Linked DNA regions of Arabidopsis thaliana. The protein of the gene in region 1 interacts with the protein of each later gene in a biochemical or structural test. Each region holds a gene or a part of one and is shown on either strand. Other genes may lie near its edges. The genes, in order: PBS2 and SGT1B.

The links.
Region 2: the proteins of PBS2 (region 1) and SGT1B are reported together in a solved structure, tested with the Arabidopsis thaliana proteins (one study listed by BioGRID).

Annotation. Positions count from the first base shown.
Region 1 is NC_003076.8:21,000,586-21,005,050, reverse strand, and holds PBS2 (cysteine and histidine-rich domain-containing protein RAR1), read left to right. Parts: upstream 1-1,764; 5' UTR 1,765-1,907; coding exon 1,908-2,015; exon of another isoform or gene 2,016-2,726; coding exon 2,727-2,729; intron 2,730-2,828; coding exon 2,829-2,911; intron 2,912-3,010; coding exon 3,011-3,165; intron 3,166-3,260; coding exon 3,261-3,490; intron 3,491-3,576; coding exon 3,577-3,678; 3' UTR 3,679-3,907; downstream 3,908-4,465. Other genes in the region: KEA5 (K+ efflux antiporter 5), read left to right, coding at 67-111, 213-308, 435-485; ACS12 (1-amino-cyclopropane-1-carboxylate synthase 12), read left to right, coding at 4,094-4,435.
Region 2 is NC_003075.7:6,850,630-6,855,926, reverse strand, and holds SGT1B (phosphatase-like protein), read left to right. Parts: upstream 1-2,014; 5' UTR 2,015-2,207; coding exon 2,208-2,367; intron 2,368-2,694; coding exon 2,695-2,764; intron 2,765-2,869; coding exon 2,870-2,994; intron 2,995-3,102; coding exon 3,103-3,229; intron 3,230-3,307; coding exon 3,308-3,404; intron 3,405-3,522; coding exon 3,523-3,588; intron 3,589-3,667; coding exon 3,668-3,806; intron 3,807-3,931; coding exon 3,932-4,011; intron 4,012-4,097; coding exon 4,098-4,202; intron 4,203-4,304; coding exon 4,305-4,412; 3' UTR 4,413-4,743; downstream 4,744-5,297. Other genes in the region: AT4G11270 (Transducin/WD40 repeat-like superfamily protein), read right to left, coding at 1-1,466.

The DNA.
Region 1 (4,465 bases):
CACTCTTTACCATTTTCTTCTTCCTAAACTTTGTGGCTTTGGGATTAATATGAATGACCAATGTAGGGGAAAATGTATCTACTCCTTTTGGGCACAACTGCTCTAAGTCTCGTAAGTTACCTAATATATGCAAACAAGCCTTTTCCATTCTAAGAGAACATACTTAAAATAATATTTAGTTCAAAACTGATTACCTGAAAATGCTGTTACAGGTAACGACTCCGTTGCTATTCAAGTTAATACCGAGTGCAATGAACCTCGGTGTCCTGCTTCGATGGTTCCCTTCTGAGAACAGTTCTCCGAACGAGGTCATTCTCTTTTCCAGATCTATTTATATTTAAGAACTGAGATAAGACATGACATAAAAATGAAAATAGATGTATTGATTATAGGAAACTGACTTGTGAGGTCGTGACTGAGAGTTTTGTTTGTAGAGTTTGCAGGAGAAAGCATCATTGATAGAAGTACATAACAGAACCAAGTGATCTCTCTTTTGTACATTGACTGAAGATTTAAGAAGAAAAAACAGATTTTGATCCGATATACTCAACTAGGAGGCAGAAAAAACATTTGAAACTGACCAAATCAGATCCAAGACTTGCTTTTTGTATTTTCTTAACTCTTTATTTTTTGTAATATCGTATATATTTAGTATTCACTACCTTCTTGTGTAGTTCAAGCGCTTATAGCTTGTTTTACTTGGTGTAAACGTTGTAACGATATTAGCCTTATATGCTGTTGTTTCTTTAATGTTCATCACAAATAAGAATCTCAATAGAAACCACAGAGTTCTATAATTGTGTGCTCAAACTCCACATATCTAAAGTGCGAGCAACAACTAGATGAATTTAGAGGTATAAATCCATTGCAATGCACAACAAAAATAACAAAAAAGAACCCTCCTTAGAAGAACAATGACATCAAAGTATAGAAAAGGATTGAGGTGGAATGAAGTAAGAGGCTGGTGAAATAGGAATTTAGTAGCACATATATGAGGACACGTGGAGCTTAGTGATTGGTTGAAATAAGAAAAGATACGTGGATTCGATTGGTATGAGCTGAAGTTGCTCAAGCTTAAGATCAAGTTGTTCATCGTCTTCTTCATTATGCAAAAATCTGAGAATTGTAAACTTTTCTTCTTCTTCCTTTCTTGTGTGTTTGGGGTTGTTACTCATTGTTAGTTTGAGATACTTCCTTCAATTCACTAATATTATTTATTTACGGGCAAATCTTAATGTGAGATTTTTGCATAGTGAGAAGTGAATCTGCGTTTTATGAACATCGTTTCAATCTATAGTTCGATTTCATTTGTGAGATTGTTGAGTTTCCTGTATCAGCTGGTTAAATAGCAAATCTACCATTCTTATCACCATTACGGAGATTGAATTTTCCGGAGTCATGGCTTTCCACGTAGTAGATGAAGTTTGGGGATAGGCCATACAAGCAAACTTGGAGACGGAAATATATACAAATAGAAAAACAAAATAATTAAGATTAGTTTTGCACAAACTTTGCAAAAACATCAAAATAGGTCCGACATTTAAATCACTTGCTTAGGTCTATAAAATAACACTCCCATCATTCAACATATTTTTCCTCTTGTGGGTTAGACCTACAAATCCGTGGATAAAACTCTTTAAAAACCTGTAATCTGTAACATATTGGCTTATTATCCATCACGCATGCTATTTTATGGACATGAAAATAATGTCCAAGCGGACCAAGCCCGCTCTGCATGGTATTATTTGGGCCGAGGCCCGTTTTACTCATCAGTTTTCATTACCGGTCAAAACTCAAAAGTCAAAATTTTCTAAAAGACGAAAAAGCCCTTTAATTTGATTTCCCAATACTTTTTACTCCTACCTTCTCAATTCGTCCGATTTCTTCACAAATTCACGAGAGAGATAATGGAAGTAGGATCTGCAACGAAGAAGCTTCAGTGCCAACGTATTGGCTGCAACGCCATGTTCACCGATGACGACAATCCTCAAGGTTCTTGTCAATTTCATGCTTCCGTACGTCTTCTTCTCTCCCCATCTTTAATCGATTCTTCTCTTTCTTTTCTAAGTCTTCGATAGTTTCTGATAAACCCATAGAGTAGCTTTTGAATTTGATTTTATGATGTGAGGTTACGAATTTCGATTTTTGATCATGAGAAGATGATTACGCAAGTGTTTAATTAGGTTTTGGATTAGCTGATTGATTACATGTAGATTTCATTTAGTTGTAAGTAAGTAAGCTTTGAACACAGCTTTGATTGTCTAATTGTCAAATTTTAACTAAGTTGTTTGCTTGCAACCTATGAATTCTGTGAGACTGTGAGCTTATTAGAACACTTGATGGAAGAAAGCAAAAGTATATTGCGTAAAATTGAATAATCCAAGTATTAGATCTTTTGCCACCGTTTATGGCTATGTGAGGGAGAGTGTACGTACATGCAGCGACTTTTGAATTGTTTGCTTCCAACTTTTGCCACCGGTTATGGCTATGTGAGGGAGAGAGCTCGTTAAGACTGTCCCTGGAAGTGTAATTAGAACAATTGTGTATAGAAAGAAGGCTTTATCTCAATATTCATCTTAACATTTGGCCTTGTATACTAGTGTTTCTTTCATATTCATCTATTGCTTTGAGCTTTTTATTGTAATTCATCTTCTTTTATTATCTTTTCTTTTTCCGGTGTGGCTGGGGCTGGTCTTTGCACTGACTACTGGTTTTTGTTCAAGCAGGGAGTAAGTCAAATTTACTCTTCAAATACTGTTTTATGTTTTTTTTTTTGTTTCACACTCGCTTGCTCAGAGAATTAAAGCTACCAAAGTTCAAACTTGCAGCCATTTTTTCACGACGGAATGAAAGAGTGGAGCTGCTGCAAGCAAAGAAGTCATGATTTCAGTTTGTTCTTGGAAATTCCAGGGTAACTAATATCCTTGTACCCCCTCATAATAATTCCTCTGTCTTTCATGGTACATATTGTAGTTGATTGCAAACACTGAAGATGTTTCTTGCAATGAAGATGTAAAACAGGTAAACACACAACTGAGAAACCAGTTCTGGCCAAATCGGTTCCAAAACATCCTGTTGCGGCTCCTACTTCATCTCCAGATGCCAATGCAGCAACAAAAGACTCTTGCTCCAGATGCCGGCAAGGCTTCTTCTGCTCAGACCATGGTTTGTATCTTTATTCTCTCGTCTTTAAATTCTCGTTGCACATTGGTTACATGCATGACCTTCTATCTAATTTTGTGTCCTTCTTTACCACACAGGATCCCAACCCAAAGAACAGATCAAGCAGACCCTGAACACACCGGGACAAGCAGAAGAAGAAAAAATTGAACCCTTAGCGCCTCCAGTACAAAAGGCTGTGATAGACATTAATCAACCGCAAGTCTGCAAAAACAAAGGATGTGGCCAAACATTCAAAGAGAGAGACAATCATGAGACTGCATGTAGCCATCATCCAGGTCCTGCGGTCTTCCACGACAGACTGAGAGGGGTAACACGTTCTTTGTTCAATCATTTTGTGACCCTTTTCTTTCACTGTTTGAATTTCTATTGAATATCACTGTTTTCTTTGTGTAGTGGAAATGTTGCGATGTTCACGTGAAGGAGTTCGACGAGTTCATGGAAATACCTCCTTGCACTAAAGGATGGCATAGCAGCAGCCCTGATCCGGCGGTCTGATATATTTTTTTTCCTGAGATTTTCGATTCAAAGATTAATCATCTTTTCTAATTGTGTTTTCATGTTCTTCTTATCATATGGAATTCTATTTTAGATTTGTTATAGAACCTTTCAGTTGACAGATATATGTAATGGTTAAATGCTCATCTTCTGTGTTTTGGATCATGATTATGGCTTTGATTGTTGTTTTCAAAACTTTGAAGATCTTTAAATAATTTCACCAATATTAGAAGGACTATTTAGCAACTTTTAAAACGTAGAGACAAATTGCGAATATGGAAAAATAATTTGCCAATTTATCTCAAAACTTTTGTATTTATTCGACTCTTTTTCAACTTCGTTACTCTCAACGAACGGCTCGAATCTCTCTTCAACGCCGGAGGCAACAACTATCTCCGCGGCGGAGCATTTTCCGATGAGGTTGATAGTACCTCTCCGTGGAGTAATTCAAGGCCGTGGTGGTCTCTTCGTCGGCTCTCTCATTCCTTGTTGTCTCTTCTACTTTCTCCAGCTCTACCTTAAACGACGCCGTCCTCCTCCCTCCGACCCGACGGACTTACCGAGAACTTTTTCACGGACTAATCTCTTCTCTCGCGGGAACTCGATCGGACGAGTTCGAGTCTCCTCCCGAGCAGTTCCTGTAGCTAAACCTTCCGATTCGCCTTATTACATTGGGTTGGAGAGAGTCAAAACGGATCCGTACGATCGGATTACGAACACGGATGGGATTATTCAGCTTGGATTAGCCGAGAGTACGGTGAGATTTTAAAAGTTCTCGATGATTTCT
Region 2 (5,297 bases), on another chromosome or scaffold:
AAGAAACCATAGACAACAGCATATGGGACATACATATTCTCAGAAATAACCATGGACGATGACACACACTGTCCATTGTCACTAACAAAGCTTTGTAGATCATTTTTGGCACTGCACTGACTTCCTGACTGCGAAGTACCAGTTTCTGCACTAACCGAGCCCTTGGGATCTAAACAGGAGCTTGAAATCCAATCAGCAAAATAGGAGCTTTCTCCAAGCACTTTGCGCTGAAGTTCTTTTTCTTTACCATTTCCTAGGCACAATGACCAGATCGTTATATGGGGCCTCCACTGAGAAGGTTGTTCAACATCACAACAACTAGACTCAACGCGAAGAAGATTCTGCCTCAACTGAACAAAACAAAACGTTGATTTCACGGAACGCTTATCATCAGGGGCAGTAACAATCTCACCGAAGTTTTTATATGTAAATTCACCATCTATATATGACATAGTAAACAGCACAGCAGAACCACTACCATCCCACAGCACAAAAGTTTCAGAAATACTATCATCTTTATCACCTTCAATAGTTGATGTACTAGAGTAAAGTATCATTGCTTCTTTGAACAGAAAATTTGAAGAATGCGAATCATCAACAAAAGATATCTCTCCTATTGCCTCCTCGCGATTCAACAACCAAAAGACACACCTACTCTTCGAGAAAAACGCAACAAGATCCCCTCGAGTTATTACTGATACAGCAATTTCCCCTTCACTCAACCAGTTTCTAGACACTAGAGAGCCTTTGCTCGGTTCAGATTTCTCTGACACTGAGACCAACTGCAACCTACCAAACGAATCAGCCATAAGCAATGATTCCTGCTCATCTAACTGAACCACGCCCATAAAATTCAAACAACCAATAGATAAATTCCCATGGAAAACTGTATGAACAATAGTAAGAGTGTAAGTATCAACAACAACCACCGTGCATCTCGACTTCTGAAAATCAGTATCTGCTAAAGTCTCAGCCCCATCAACATCGATATAAGAACAACCAACACATACATATCTAGGCTCTGATGGCAAAGTAGACAAAATCGATGGACTTCCAACCCAAGGAGGTAATTTTCTTCGTTTCCTACACTGACCACTACTTCTACTCCATACACACAAGACACCATCAGTACAAGCACTGATCAATGCACAACAGTTAACAAATGGATCCGCATTACCATTATCTGATGCAACAACTCCATTACTTGAAAGTATTGTAGGATCACAAATAGCAAGATCCACTATTGGTGAAGTATGGCCACACAACATAGCAATCGGTTTAATCTCATGATGAGGGAGACGAGTTACAGAATTGGATTCGGAAGAAGAAGAGATGCTCCACCAGATGATTGACCCATCGGATCCACCGGTATAGAGAGTCGGTGGATTGGTTAGAGAGGCTGTGGCGGTGACCCGATGAGACGGAGGAGCACGAGACCATAGGCAGGCCACAGATCGGCACTTCATCGGCTTGAATCAAGCGGTACAAGCATCGACCGAGTCAGTGAACGAGTCGGGGTGAGAGAAGAAGGAAGAACGAACTGGTAAACGACGTCGTAACAGTAATCACGACAAATATATCTGTACATATTTAGATGGATTTTTCGAGGTTGCAAATAAATTTTTTAAGGTAAATATTTGGCAAAAGTTTGATAATTGATATTTTAACTTTACTAGATTATTATCAACTTAAAATACTTAAATCTGTGTATTGGACGACGGGTCCTAATCTAGTCAATATATAAATTATAACTTGTTAAAATATATCATAGTCTAAATTCACAAATCACATTGTATTTGCTAAACTATGAGTAAACGATTACGATATAAACAAAATGAGTAGAAAATGATTATTTTAAATTATTGTAGTTCTCTATAAATATCTTTACCATTAGTTTTCTTTCCTTTTTTCAGTATTATTCTTTTGTCAACTAATTTATTTGTTAAAAAATCTGGACTTATCAAGAATCAATCTTATGTTAAAAAATAAAATCAAAAGGAAATTAGAAAATAAAATAAAATCTAATTACCTTTTTGTTTTTGGTTATATGACCTAGTAGAGGTATTAAAACGTTCTTAAAAGAAAAAAAAAATCCCAAACACAGCAAAAAAAAAAAAAGCCTAGAGGAATAGAATCGGTCTCTTTCTCTATAATCTCTCTCTCTCTCTGACTTGTTTGTGTTCTCTCAAATCCTCTGATAAGAATCAATGGCCAAGGAATTAGCAGAGAAAGCTAAAGAAGCTTTTCTAGATGATGACTTCGATGTTGCTGTTGACTTATACTCCAAAGCCATTGACTTGGATCCCAATTGCGCCGCCTTCTTCGCCGATCGTGCTCAGGCCAACATCAAAATCGATAACTTCACTGGTATAAATATAACTCTCTTCCTTACCGTTAATATCATCGTTAAAGATTGAAACTTTATTAGATGTATTGCTTCGTTGACGCTTTTGGGGTTCTGGGTCTTGTTCTTTTGTCGTTACTTTAATTCGATCTGTTGATAGTGGAACAAAGTTTTGATTTTTGTTATTGGTTTGGTTTAGTTTTAGTTTTAGGGTTTCTTTTGTGAGGTTGTTGATTCGGATAAGAAAACTTATTTGAGTAATTGTAATTGTAGTTACTGTACTTTGATTGAATTGTTGTTGTTTGATGATTTGATTTGATATTTTATCTTTTTGTGGTTTCTATGAGCAGAAGCTGTTGTAGATGCGAACAAAGCCATTGAGTTGGAGCCAACGTTGGCAAAAGCCTATCTCAGAAAGGGGTATGATATTTTCACCATCTCTCTGTAGTGAATGATTTGATGTTATGTTCAAATTTGATTGGAATTATAATTCTATCTTCTGATTCTTTGCTACTGTGTTCGCAGCACTGCTTGTATGAAGCTAGAAGAATATAGTACTGCTAAAGCAGCCCTGGAAAAGGGAGCTTCTGTTGCACCGAATGAACCAAAGTTTAAGAAGATGATAGATGAATGCGATCTTCGTATTGCAGGTATGTTACATCAACTCCATAGCTTAAGAAATTAGTTACTAAACGATTTTGGGTATTTGTCTGCGCCTAGGGCTATAATTTTGATATAGTCTTTGTATCTCTGTTCAGAAGAAGAGAAAGATTTGGTTCAGCCGATGCCACCGAGTTTGCCTTCAAGCTCTACAACACCACTAGCAACGGAAGCTGATGCTCCTCCTGTTCCAATTCCTGCAGCACCTGCCAAACCGATGTTCAGGTAGTCTGGTTATCTAACATGTAAATTCTTCTTTAATTTCCAGAATCATTTTATACTCATAACTTTATTGCTCAACAGGCACGAGTTCTACCAGAAACCAGAAGAAGCGGTGGTGACAATTTTCGCCAAAAAAGTACCTAAGGAGAACGTAACTGTCGAGTTTGGTGAGCAGATTGTGAGTATCCTTCAATCAGAGAATTCATGACTTTTATCTGAACTTCAGAAACTATCTCTCTTTGTAATTTAACACTGTATTGATTTGAGATGTCTATCTTGGCTTTATTTTGGTGCAGCTGAGTGTTGTCATTGATGTTGCTGGAGAGGAAGCTTATCATCTCCAGCCGAGATTGTTCGGGAAGGTATATTTTATTTGACATATGTAATTACGGTGTTTTCACACACACTTTTACTAAATCCTTCTTCATGGGTGTTTTTCAGATAATACCAGAGAAGTGCAGATTTGAAGTATTGTCGACCAAAGTTGAGATCCGTCTTGCGAAAGCAGAGATAATCACCTGGGCCTCCCTTGAATATGGTAAAGGGCAAAGTGTTTTGCCCAAACCCAATGTCTCATCAGGTTTGTCTCAGAAGATACCAGCTTACGTTTACTATTTTATTCTGAACCACAATCGTAAAACCTTAAACAAACTGAACCCAAAGTGGTCTCTCTCTCTTCTCATTTGATTTTATGTGCATATGCAGCGCTGTCGCAGAGACCAGTGTACCCATCTTCTAAGCCAGCAAAAGACTGGGACAAGTTGGAAGCTGAAGTGAAGAAACAGGTTCCACAAACGCTAACTTCTCATCCTTAACACTAGAGGCTTTGCTGTACTTTGTTCTTTCTGCTTATCACTTTTGAATTTCGCAGGAGAAGGATGAGAAGCTTGATGGAGATGCAGCTATGAACAAATTTTTCAGCGACATATACTCGAGTGCAGATGAAGACATGAGGCGGGCAATGAACAAATCATTTGTGAGCAAATCTATCTTTGGTCTTTAAAATTTTGGTTTAATAACTCTGCTTTGTTCTTCGACTAATGAGATTTTCCTCTCGGGTGGTTTTTGGGTTTGACAGGCAGAGTCGAATGGGACGGTACTGTCGACAAACTGGAAAGAAGTTGGGACTAAGAAAGTGGAGAGCACTCCACCAGATGGCATGGAGCTCAAGAAGTGGGAGTATTGATCTTCTTAAAATCCCCTTTTCTGGTTTTTGTTAAAAAAAAGTCTGACAAATCTTTTGAACTTTTAAGGTGTTTTTCTTTTTTGGTTTCTGCTCGAATTTGTCTCTCTCCATTCTTGCGTTGTGGTCTCAAAGAACGTTCTGATACTTTGATTTTGTATTAGAAAACTAAAACTCGCAAGTCTGTTGTTTTGGAACTTTGTTCTTTTATCGAGAGGCTTATCTAAATATTTCTTGACATAATTGCATTGTGGTCTAAAAGGTTAGTTGTATAAGCCCAACTTTCTTTAGTTAAAACCGATGTGCATCTATATAGTGAGACAGTATTTTCACCTTTGGGGTTCCTGGTCTAGGAACACTGTTGTTGAATCCAAATCTTTCTTTCTTCTCAAATGCCTTAAGGATTTGAAATGAACATGTTAAGCTATCATCAACACTCATCAATGCACCAGCATTGTCAAACTCGCCACAGTAATTGGGTGCAGAGAATTTGTCTTCACGAAATCAGAGCTACTTTCCATCTTCATGTATATATTAGCTGATTCAGACAAGAAGGATACTAAGTTACAAGTTTGTTATAAGATGCAAGAGTAAAGGATTTCACTTTGCAGGTTGTATCAACCAATTGAAACAGTCTTGTCACCATAAGTGATTTTAGATTATAATTTGTTTCATGCAAGTTTTTGTGAAAGACTTTTATGGAAGTTCATATATATATATATATATATATATATAATACTAACTGAAATACCAACTTAAAAGTAAAAACAAAATCTCCACAAATGGATCTGTTTTACAGTTATAACAACACTGTAAAATAAAAAAAGACAGTAGCAGGAAGAATTCAGAAGCAAAAACAGCTTCAATCTCTCTCTGATCAGCTTCCTA